Drosophila melanogaster: one gene and its partner. The protein of the gene in region 2 interacts with the protein of the main gene of each other region in a pairwise test. Each region holds a gene or a part of one and is shown on either strand. Other genes may lie near its edges. The genes, in order: Or85a and yellow-b.

Region 1 (3,920 bases), on a different chromosome or scaffold from region 2:
GGAGCAGCATCGAGGTCGATATACTCCGTCTCTCGGTTCATTATCGCTCCTTTATCCGGTTCCTTCCTGATTTGTTGCGATTGCCGCCACGAGTAACCCGGGAGCTCTATTGCGGTTTTTATGGCGCTGCACTCTCCAGTACGTGTTGCACTTGGAGTTGCTGTTGTGGAACACGATTCGAAATTAGAAGACGGCGCAGATGTGCAGCAGTGCCTCCAACTGCCCATAATGGTAATGGACCGGACGGCAGTTTCAGACGGGCAGCGAGCTCCAGCGGCAGGTGCCAAGAGGAGGAGGAGGAGGAGGAGACTCCTCCAGTCTCCAGATAAGAGGGCTACCCATTTGACACCATATAATGGCAAGCTATTATAGTAAAGTTTCAGTTGTGCTTTGTTTGCCAGAAAAGTTATGATAACGAAAGTACAAACTGATTTTCCAGATATCTAATAGATTGCCATAATGTTTGCAACACATTTAAATTTTATATAATCATTCTATATATTTTCATTTATTGATTGTGCACAAGTGAAACTACTCTCTTAAATTGAGTTGATCAAATTTGTGGCACTAAACCGAATTACTCCCTTCTCAATTTCTCGGCCAAGTCCATCTCATTTACAATGGTCACCACTGAGAAAGCGAACTTGGCCATCTGAAAGATTTTGTTTACAATAAAATGTAATGGTTTTGTATGATATTATCTTACCTTTATATTGGTGTTTAGACATATGGGGAAAATTCCGCCCGCAGTGAACAAAATCGACTGCTGAACATTGTGAATGAAGTACAACATCGTGGTTCTGTATCGTCGCTCAGCTCCAATCCACTTGGAATGGAACAGTGTGTTGGTCAGGGATTCGCAATCGCTGCTCAGCTGCTCACAGACATAGCAAAATGGAAAGGTCTGGGATAGAATGGCTATGGTGTAGACCCCGGAGACAACACGCTCCATTACGGTGTTATAGAACTGCATGGACACCGCTGCCAGACCCAAAAGTAAGCCAACGGATAGTAGTTGGATGAACATCGTGGCGGATATCATGGGACGCAGAGTGTTTCCATATCTAATGAGGAAAATTGAGTGGATTATGGCATTCTGCAAAGAGTATTCCATTCTTCCTCACTCGACAATTAGCTTGTGATCCTTTACACACTCCACCAGCTCGGCATAATGTTGATCGTCGCCTTTTTCCACATCAGTACGCAGCGTCTTGATTCGCTCACTCAAGAGCTCCATGTGGATCCGCAGAACGACCACATATATGATGGGATATACGTCCAAAATGAGATTGGCCAGAATAATGCCAGCCATGGTGACCGATTCAATGGCAGTGGCCAGATAGAAATGATCGTCGGGGTTAACCAGTGGATTGTACAAACAGAATGGAGTCTTCCCAATCACCAGAGCTCCGGTTAAGGCCATGGATAGATAGCCGAAGTATATGCAATGGTAAATCACAACAACACGATTGCATAAGGCTGCTGCTCGGTGCACCTGGACTTTCTCCTCCATCTTGGTGCATCGAATGTCCATGGCGTCCATCATCTTCTGAGCCCTTGAAAATCGCCGCCGCATAAACAACACTATAATGCCCTTCATGATCGAAGCATTGGTGTTAACCGGCACCTGGACATACGTAAACAGATCCGTGGTCGTGAAGTTCTTGAACTCCTTTATTCCAGTCATTATCAGTCCATAGGGTATAAAGATAAAGACGAGTACTATGACCACCAATGTCCAAATGTAATAGAGCCACCAGTACGGCTTAGTTCGTGGCGGCAGTCTCCATCCCATTTGATCTATGGATCTGTTTAAGTAGATCAGCGAATCCCGGGATCGAAATAAGGATCCAAGGACTGGCTCTTGAATGTACTTAAAAATCATTTTTGAAAGTTTAGAGGTTTCGATTGACTTGAACTTTGTCACCTGAAGACTGAGGGCAGTACCCTAAACTAGTTGCATTTATACGCGTTGTTTAATTGTCCAATGCTAGTTAGTTATTCACGAAAAGAACCGCCTTTATTTGCGTGCAAAATTGCACAGGTTGTTTTGAGGGGTGTGTCTTCATGTCTTAAATAATTGACAATTGTTCCCATATTGTCCCTTTCGCAGGAGTGGTTGTTAATTACTTTATTTATGGTCCTGTGAAAATAGCTTCTCTGCTGAACCTTAATCATTCTTCAATCTCAAGAATAGGATACACCCATGTGCACCTATCCTTAAGTAGTGTTCTATGCGCCAAGGGGAAATCTTTGCGTCATCGCTCAAAGTGCATTTCCGCACGTTCCGGGCATTCAAATTGTGTTTTCCCAGTCACAATCGGGGCACCCACATCCGCAGTTCTAAGAAGCAAATGGTAGCGATTTTCAGCCGAACAAACGGCTCTCCACTCAACTTGGGCTGCCGCTCGCCAATCCTCCTCCGCTCCGCCGCTCCACCGCTTCTGCAGGTCCCACTCCTAGCCACTCGGCTCACTCATTTGCCACCGAAACTAATTAGACGCAAATGTGCTTTTGTTCGCCTTCCCATTCCCAGGCAACGCTCTTTGTTCGCATTTTGTACTGGGAACCGGGAATAGCTTTCGGATGATACTGTGGCATACTCTGGCATATGAACAGTTTCCGAAAACAGTTTTTCATATTTATGTTAAAATGTATAGACACTTCCTTTATTCCTTTATGTTACCAACCTAACTAATCCGCAATCTTCTCTTTGCAGAGTCGCAGTGTCCGCAGTATGGCGAGGTGAACCAGCTGGGCGGCGTCTTTGTCAACGGCCGTCCGCTGCCCAATGCGACCAGGATGCGGATCGTGGAGCTGGCCCGCCTGGGCATCCGACCCTGCGACATATCGCGCCAGCTGCGAGTGAGTCACGGCTGCGTGTCCAAGATCCTGGCCAGGTACCACGAAACGGGCTCCATACTACCCGGCGCAATTGGGGGATCCAAGCCGCGCGTGACCACACCCAAGGTGGTCAACTACATCAGGGAACTGAAGCAGCGAGATCCCGGCATCTTTGCGTGGGAAATCCGGGACCGTTTGCTCAGCGAGGGCATATGCGACAAAACGAATGTACCCAGTGTGAGCTCCATATCGAGAATCCTGCGCAACAAGTTGGGCAGCCTGGGGCATCAGCACACGCCGGGAACGGTGATGGGCAGCGGAAGCAGCAGCGGTGGCGGCAGTGTGTCCAGCAATGGTGGACAAAACAATGGCACGAGTGCCAGCAATAATATTAATCTGAGCAATCTGGGTAATCCCGGCGGTGGACCGCACCATCCGCACCACCATCATCATCATCAGTCAGCGGCGGCGGCGGCAAGTGCCCATCATGTGCACGCCCACGCCCATGCCCACGCCCACCTGTACAACTCCATCTACCAGCCGTACAGTGCTGCGGCGGCCTACAGCATGAAGACGCCCTGTGGAAGTCCATCCCCGCCGCAGGGAGCGGGCGGTCAGGGATCAGTGCCCCATCCCCACCAGCTGAGGAGTGTGGCCGCCGCAGCCGCTGCCGCCCACTGGCCCTCCTCCCACTCGGTCAGCGATATCCTGGCCCACCATCAGGCTGTTGCCCTGCGCGCCAGTTGCCAAGTGGGCGTCGGAGTGGGTGGAATGGGCGGCATGGGCAGTACGGTATCCCCGCTGCCGATGACTCCTTCGCCGGTGGCGGGAACGGCCGGTGGTCAGCCACTGCTCGACTGCGAGGGTGGGGCGGGACAGCAGTCGCCGTACAACTACTACATGTACTTCCAGAACGGCGGAATGCATCACCACCATCATCACGGCGGAATGATGGCCGCTGGAGCCACGGGCTTATGATTGGGTGGTCTATAATCAGCGGATTGGTTGCGGGTCTAGCTACTTTCGATCGCGGTTGTTCAGTCTAGGTTACTCTAGTCTAAGAGCTAGTTAGGGAA
Region 2 (6,655 bases):
GAACTAACTATGAAAACTAAGAATTAATTAAATATTTTAGACCACCGAATCTGTCTGTCTTCGCGCTGGGCGACACGCGAGTAGCTGGACAAATGGCAGTCCCTGTAATACTAAACCCCACACAAAACCGTTCCACGAGCGTAAATGTCTGCTGCGTCCAGTCGAAAGCGTGTCACATTAATTTTGCTGAGCGAAGAGTCCCCTGCGTCCGTGCTGCCCCCTTCTATCTATCCATATTAATATATAAATAAGTGGTATATATGTCTATCTTTGGATTATGTTTTGCATGGCGAGAAGAGTATGCCTTCCGACCACAAAGTACAAGTTCGAATCGGACGCAGGCGATGTGCCGTAGCTTGGTCAGCAGATATACGGCCTGGTCCGGTATATTGTAACTCTGAGGCGAGGGCACATCACAGTTATGGAAGTAACTGTTGGACTTTTCGGTCCTTGTCTTGCGACCACTCAATCGTTATATCCACACGCATAACACCACTACTATAATATAACTTTATAACTGAATCAGACGAACCGCATTCGCATACAACGCGTCTAGTTCAATCCACACAAACCGGCGGCTGAATCACCAACCACATCGATCACCACACCACTTCTCAAAGCATTCGTGCAATGATGGATCTGAAAGAGATTTACTAGAACGTTTGGTTACACATTTTGTTCAGTGTTGATTTACTCATTTATCAATATGAAATTAATCAATAATGCTTTGATAGTTGCAACTACTTTGTTTGGGAAAGTATTTCAAGATCGAATAAATTTCAAACTAATAAACGATAAGAATTTCTTTTGCCAAAGATCTTTGAAGCTTTCGACCAAAGATTTTTTTTTTATAATTAATAATAATCTTTGATTAAATATAAATGTTAACCGTGTTTATATTTCGCATAAGCTTTAAACATTTTTGTTGCATTTACTTTTAACTAAAGCTTACGGAACTAACTAATCAAATTTTCCTTATCCATTTCTGTTCGTTCCACAAATAATCACACAAATACTTAGCTAATGCCTATACTTTATTTAGAGCAAATGCATAAAATCAAAAACCAACAAAATTGCCTATGTTAAATCATTTTTAATGTTGTCATGTAAATGAAAAGATGCAAGATCAAGGATTAAAAACAAAAAAAGAATATAGCATTCTTGTACGTAAAATGTTTTTACCAAACCACAAAGAAAGATAGTATACAACAGCAAGTTATATAAGCAATTGTTTAAATTCTTTTTAACTATACAAAAAGCAAACAATACTATTAGGAAAACATATAAAATGCATAAAAGTACTATTTCTAGTTTAATGTTTCGATTGTTCTCTATTCTTTTGAAATTAATTTATTGACATTTTAAATAAAACAAATAAAAGTGAACATCATGCGTTTTCTTTCATCGATTTTGTTTCAGGTTAAAACTGATTCATAAAAAGTGTGAAACTGAAAGCTAATATTATTATTAAAGGGAACTTGCATTCATATCTTGTATGGAACGGCCACAAAATGGATGACTCATTGGGATATCCCCATTTTAACCAAGGCACTCATTCTGTCAGTTAGACAATCGGACGACCGGAACATTCCATGATGATAAACCAACAAATTAATTAAAATTTAATTTCAAATATTGATTTAATACAAGAAAAATTACTCGGACATGGGCTTGTCTAATATCTTTTCACATTTATGGGTCAATCATGAATACACAGTAGGCCTACAAGCTACAAGTGTGGGAGTTTTTTCAGGGGCTTGTCAATCGCGGGGCCACAGCTGGAGATTTTAATGGATGGATTAGTATGTCCATGGTGTGGGAGCTATGCATAATATTTGTGGGATAGCCCAGGGAGCGTGCCAAAAACTACTTTAATTCATAGCCAACGTGCTAAACCGTCTTACGGGCTGACTAATTCAAGTTCAGTCGAATTCCAAGAGAGCCGCTTGGAGCGGGAACCACTCACGCAGACCGGTCTCCAATGGGTTGACTTGTCTGGCGGCTCACTTGACTTTTAGTTTCGTTTCGAGTCTCGACACTGGCGGTTGTGTGCTGCTCTTTGGTTGATCATAAGAAGGTGTGTTAAGTGCCGACCCGAACTGTTGACATTTGGTTAAGATTTGTCAAGTAAATCACATAAACATATGTATTAACTCCGGTGATCATAAAAGCGAAGCCAGGGCCAAACGAAAGATTCAAGACACAAACTTAGAGGCAGCCAGGTGACAAGGCTTGCATAACTGGAGCTGACCAAAAAGTGTGTTTTCAATACTCTTTGAACCATTCACAATTGTAAAAAAAAACAATAAATATGTATCAGCAACAAAGCAAACAAAAAACACGTTAAGTAATGGCAATAAAAAAAGGGATAGATGGAAAATCCCGTGGCCATACCATTAAAATCCATTAATAATGATACAACATTTGTGATTACATACGGCTAGCTTAGACACGCCCACAATAAAAAACGGAAAGTATATTTTTACAGCTGACTCACGAAAATAACTTGAAAATTCACCATCGAGAAGAGTCCCAAATCGAAAATACACTTTATTTGAGGAACAAACGAAAGATATTGGCGGTCACTCCGGAGTGCGCATTTTGAAATGCTAATGGTTGAACTGCGAGGCTCAACTTGAAATTGATGATGAGGTCGAGTGTTTCGGACAACGAGTTAGAAAAAATGAAAGATACCCTAAAAATAAAGATCGAGTGAGGTGGTGGCAGTCAACTTGTAAACAGTTGGTTATGGAGAAAGGTTTAGTTTGAAGAGCACTTAAGTTGTAGTAGATCGTTCTCATTTTTTGTTTAGAGCAAAATAAAAAGCGAAAAAATAAAAAAGGGTAAAGAAAACATCGGCCAACTTCCTTGGCCACGTTCTGATCTTGTTCGTTAGATAATATACCTCAAGTCTCGCTTTTAACCAGAAATTAAACTTTGTGGTTTGGCAACTGAGTCAAAGTTTTGGCCGACCAAAGGCAACTTTCAAATGCCGAAGTGAACCAAAGCGACATAAAGTGTGAGTCACACGGAGCATTAGAAGGCCAAAAAGGCTGGTCCAAATGACATAATTTAAGAATTTATGAACATTAGAAGAAACAAATATACTGAGAACTAAATGTGATGGAAAATTAAAGAACCCTACTCATACTATGATTGAAAAAGTATGTAAGCACTTTTGTATCTACGATTTGTTTGTGCCCAATTCAGCAGTTTAATGCTACCATATTAAATGAATCTTAATTTGGTTTTTTTCGAGTGTTTGATCTGGTTGCGTTTATGGCTTGGACAAGGCCGTTGCGGCTTAACGGAAGCTTAAATGAATAGAGCAGCGTTTATTAATTGATTTTGGTATTTGCAGTGAATTTATTGGAGACATGCTGCGATTCAGATTAGGCCTGCTACTTCTGTGGGCGGTCTCTGCCCTGGCGAACGACAATCTTCGCGTAGCGTACGAGTGGCGGGAAATGGACTTCAAGTACGCCAATCCAGACCAAAGATGGTCGGCCATCGAGCGGGGCGAGTTCAAGCCGGCCAATGTGATACCCTTTGGCCTGGAGGTTGCCGGCCACCGACTCTTTGTCACCCTGCCCAGATGGAGGGACGGAGTGCCGGCCTCGTTGGCCTACCTTGATCTTAATGGTAAGCGCTTGAGTTGCATTGTTGCAGCTGCCACAGTACATGAATTTGAATATAATTGCCCCATGCAATTGCACTATGTGTGCCAAGAGCTGATCTGAGATCTCAAATCTCGGATCTCACAGCTCGGCAATTGTTTTGGTCGCGTCTGATGGCGCTTCTGATCAACTTGACCATCCGAACAATTCCGTTTCCTTTCGCACTTGCGGCAATTAGCATAGTAATAACGCTCGCTGACGTTATTAGCTGTCTGACATCAACAGCATGCCACAAATCGGTGCATACTAGATGTATGTATTTATGTGTACATATCACTTGGGGTTCTGTGTGGGCTGCGAAGTACACTTGTACAATAAACAGTCACATTTGGCCAATGCAAGTGTATCAAGTACATATAGTATCAAGTTGTTAAATTATCGCCGTTGTTTTCATTTTGTAAAACTTCTTGAATAGAACAAAATTAACATTTATTTTTGCACTTATCGAGAACTTTTCTTATATTATAATCTGCTAATTGGAATATTCCTGGCGAATCGTTGTAAATATAAAGTTACATTTCCTTTTACTGCTCAACAGCAAGGCCAGTGGGCAGTTGATTTAGCCACAACTCAATCAGAGCTCATTAGCAAGTTAATCAGTTTAGACAATTGCACTGAAAAGCAGCAGTGCGAATTACTCACCAACAGGCAACAAATACATACATACACAAACATTTTGTGAGCAATCCAATTAGCAATGCAAATGGCCAAATTTAAATACAACAAGGCGAATAAAATGACTGCTGACGAGAGAGATCAATAAACCTTCAAATATAATATATTATATATAAATATATATCAACAGAATATATATACAACGAATGTAAACTTATATAATATATTATATTAATGTAAAGTAATAGCGTTAATTGGTCTCACTTTAGATGATTATGTCAGGGATAAAATTAGTTGTATTAAACATGAGTTATTGTATTTTATTAAGCGTTCTATTTTGATGTATTTTATTCAGATACCTCCAGCAAGGGTCCAGCCTTGAAGCCATTCCCCAGCTGGCAGGCTCACAATCTCCAGGAAGCCGAACCGGAATTGGTTTCTCCATTCCGCGTGCGAGCCGATAGATGCGGACGCCTGTGGGTGCTCGACTCTAGGATCTCCGGAGTCCTGGAGCAGACCAAGATCTATGGAGCAGCCCAGCTGCTGGTCTACGATCTGCACAATGATGATTTGTTGAGACGACACGTTTTGCCCGCCGGTCAGTTGAAGCAGGGATCTTTACTGGCCAATCTGGCGGTGGAGGACTCTGACTGTGAGAATACCTTTGCCTACGCAGCCGATTTGGGCAGTCCCGGCTTGGTGGTTTACTCATGGAAGGATGAGGAATCGTGGCGTGTGCAGCATCACTTCTTCCACCCAGATCCAATGGCCGGTAACTTCAGCATCAATGGCATTGAGTTTCAATGGGATGATGGCCTATACGGACTGGCTCTATCGAAGCCCCTGGAAACGGGCTATGCCACATTGTACTTCCATCCCCTCTGCTCCACTACGGAATTCTCGGTGGATACATCGATATTGCGTAACAAGACCCTGGCCACTTCGCCGATGATTTATCGAGAATTCAAGGTGCTGGGCTCCAGAGGACCGAACACCCAGGCTGGAGCCGAGTTCTTGGATCCGGATACCGGAGTCCTATTCTACGCCCTGCCCAATCTGAACGAAGTCGCCTGCTGGCGCACTGCCACAGACTTTAGTCACAGTTCCCAGAGCCGCATCCACATGAACAATGATACCTTGGTGTTCCCCAGTGACATCAAGGTTGATGATCAGAAACGTCTATGGGTCCTATCCAATCAGCTACCCGTCTTCATCTACGATGAACTGTACGCCGGCTCAATAAACTTCCGTATCCTGACTGCCAGTGTTAAGGAGGCCATTGAGAATACAGCCTGTGAAATTAGAACTTCCCCTCTGCCAGATGTAATCAACAAACTGGGGGATATTCTCAATACTAACATCAAACTGAAGTCCAATTCGGCTTCTTCCCTTAGGAACCTCAGCTCCCTTATGCTGATTGCCTTATGTTTGCTGATGAGCTTTAGAATCTAGATTCCCGCAGCGGTACAAAAGTATCTTGCGCACTTGCGAACGAAAATGTTTTATGTTTTTCAAGAACAGAGAACTTGAAAAATTTCTGTAATTTTAGCATTTTCACTGATTTCTTAAACGTACGAAATATTTTTATTTGAGTGCAATTGTAATCTGTTAAGATGTAGGCTTAGAAAACTTAAACGTTGTACGTGAAGTTGATTAAATGTAAGAAGTGTATTTGAATAGTTTTCTTTATATGTACTTCCCACTTATTGCAAATCCAAGCCAGCTTGGTTATTGACTCAATATTTGGGTTGCTTTTCCTTCTTTTTATAGGCAATTTCTACATCGATGGTCTCATCGCTGGTTTGTGATTGACCATCCTCGGAGTTTGCCTCTAACTTTGCCTGCTCCTTCTGCTGCATCCTCTTAATGAATCCGCCACAGAAAAAGAGCATCATCTGAAAGGATGTCAAATACCTTGTTACTCTGCCAGTTTGAATGTGGACTTGGTCTTACATGCTCCAGTATTCCAATCAATCCCAGGACAGACAAGCCCAGTAGAAAACCAAGAGAACCACCCACATCGGCTATGAATTGTGTGGTGTCATAGCTGGGACGCTCTTCAATCATCTGAAAATGTTAACGGGCTCAGTGAAAGATCGATGCATCATAACATTATTAACCTACCGATATCAGTTTTGTTGTATAGTATATGTAGATTTGGGTGCGTGGCTCTGGTTGATTAAAGGCCTTTCTGTTCTGAATGAAAGTTGTGTATATTCTCGATTGGCAGGGCTGAACACAGTCACAGTCAAAGTCATCCTCATTTTCATAGACACTGAAAGAGAAAATAGAAAATACATACTTACATACATAATAAAACACTAATGCTTCTGTCTTACTCTTTATAATCCGATATCAGTTTC

Evidence for each region.
Region 1: the proteins of yellow-b (region 2) and Or85a interact in a two-hybrid assay, tested with the Drosophila melanogaster proteins (one large-scale study listed by BioGRID).

The regions. Positions count from the first base shown.
Region 1 is NT_033777.3:8,319,712-8,323,631, reverse strand, and holds Or85a (odorant receptor 85a), read right to left. Parts: upstream 1,886-3,920; coding exon 1,125-1,885; intron 1,065-1,124; coding exon 707-1,064; intron 653-706; coding exon 578-652; downstream 1-577. Other genes in the region: Poxm (Pox meso), read left to right, coding at 2,720-3,822. UniProt on the Drosophila melanogaster protein: Odorant receptor which mediates acceptance or avoidance behavior, depending on its substrates. The odorant receptor repertoire encodes a large collection of odor stimuli that vary widely in identity, intensity, and duration.
Region 2 is NT_033779.5:16,752,322-16,758,976, forward strand, and holds yellow-b (yellow-b), read left to right. Parts: upstream 1-2,014; 5' UTR 2,015-2,077; exon of another isoform or gene 2,078-2,257; intron 2,258-3,361; 5' UTR 3,362-3,377; coding exon 3,378-3,642; intron 3,643-4,647; coding exon 4,648-5,744; 3' UTR 5,745-5,962; downstream 5,963-6,655. Other genes in the region: ppk17 (pickpocket 17), read right to left, coding at 6,029-6,187, 6,246-6,359, 6,417-6,567, 6,632-6,655.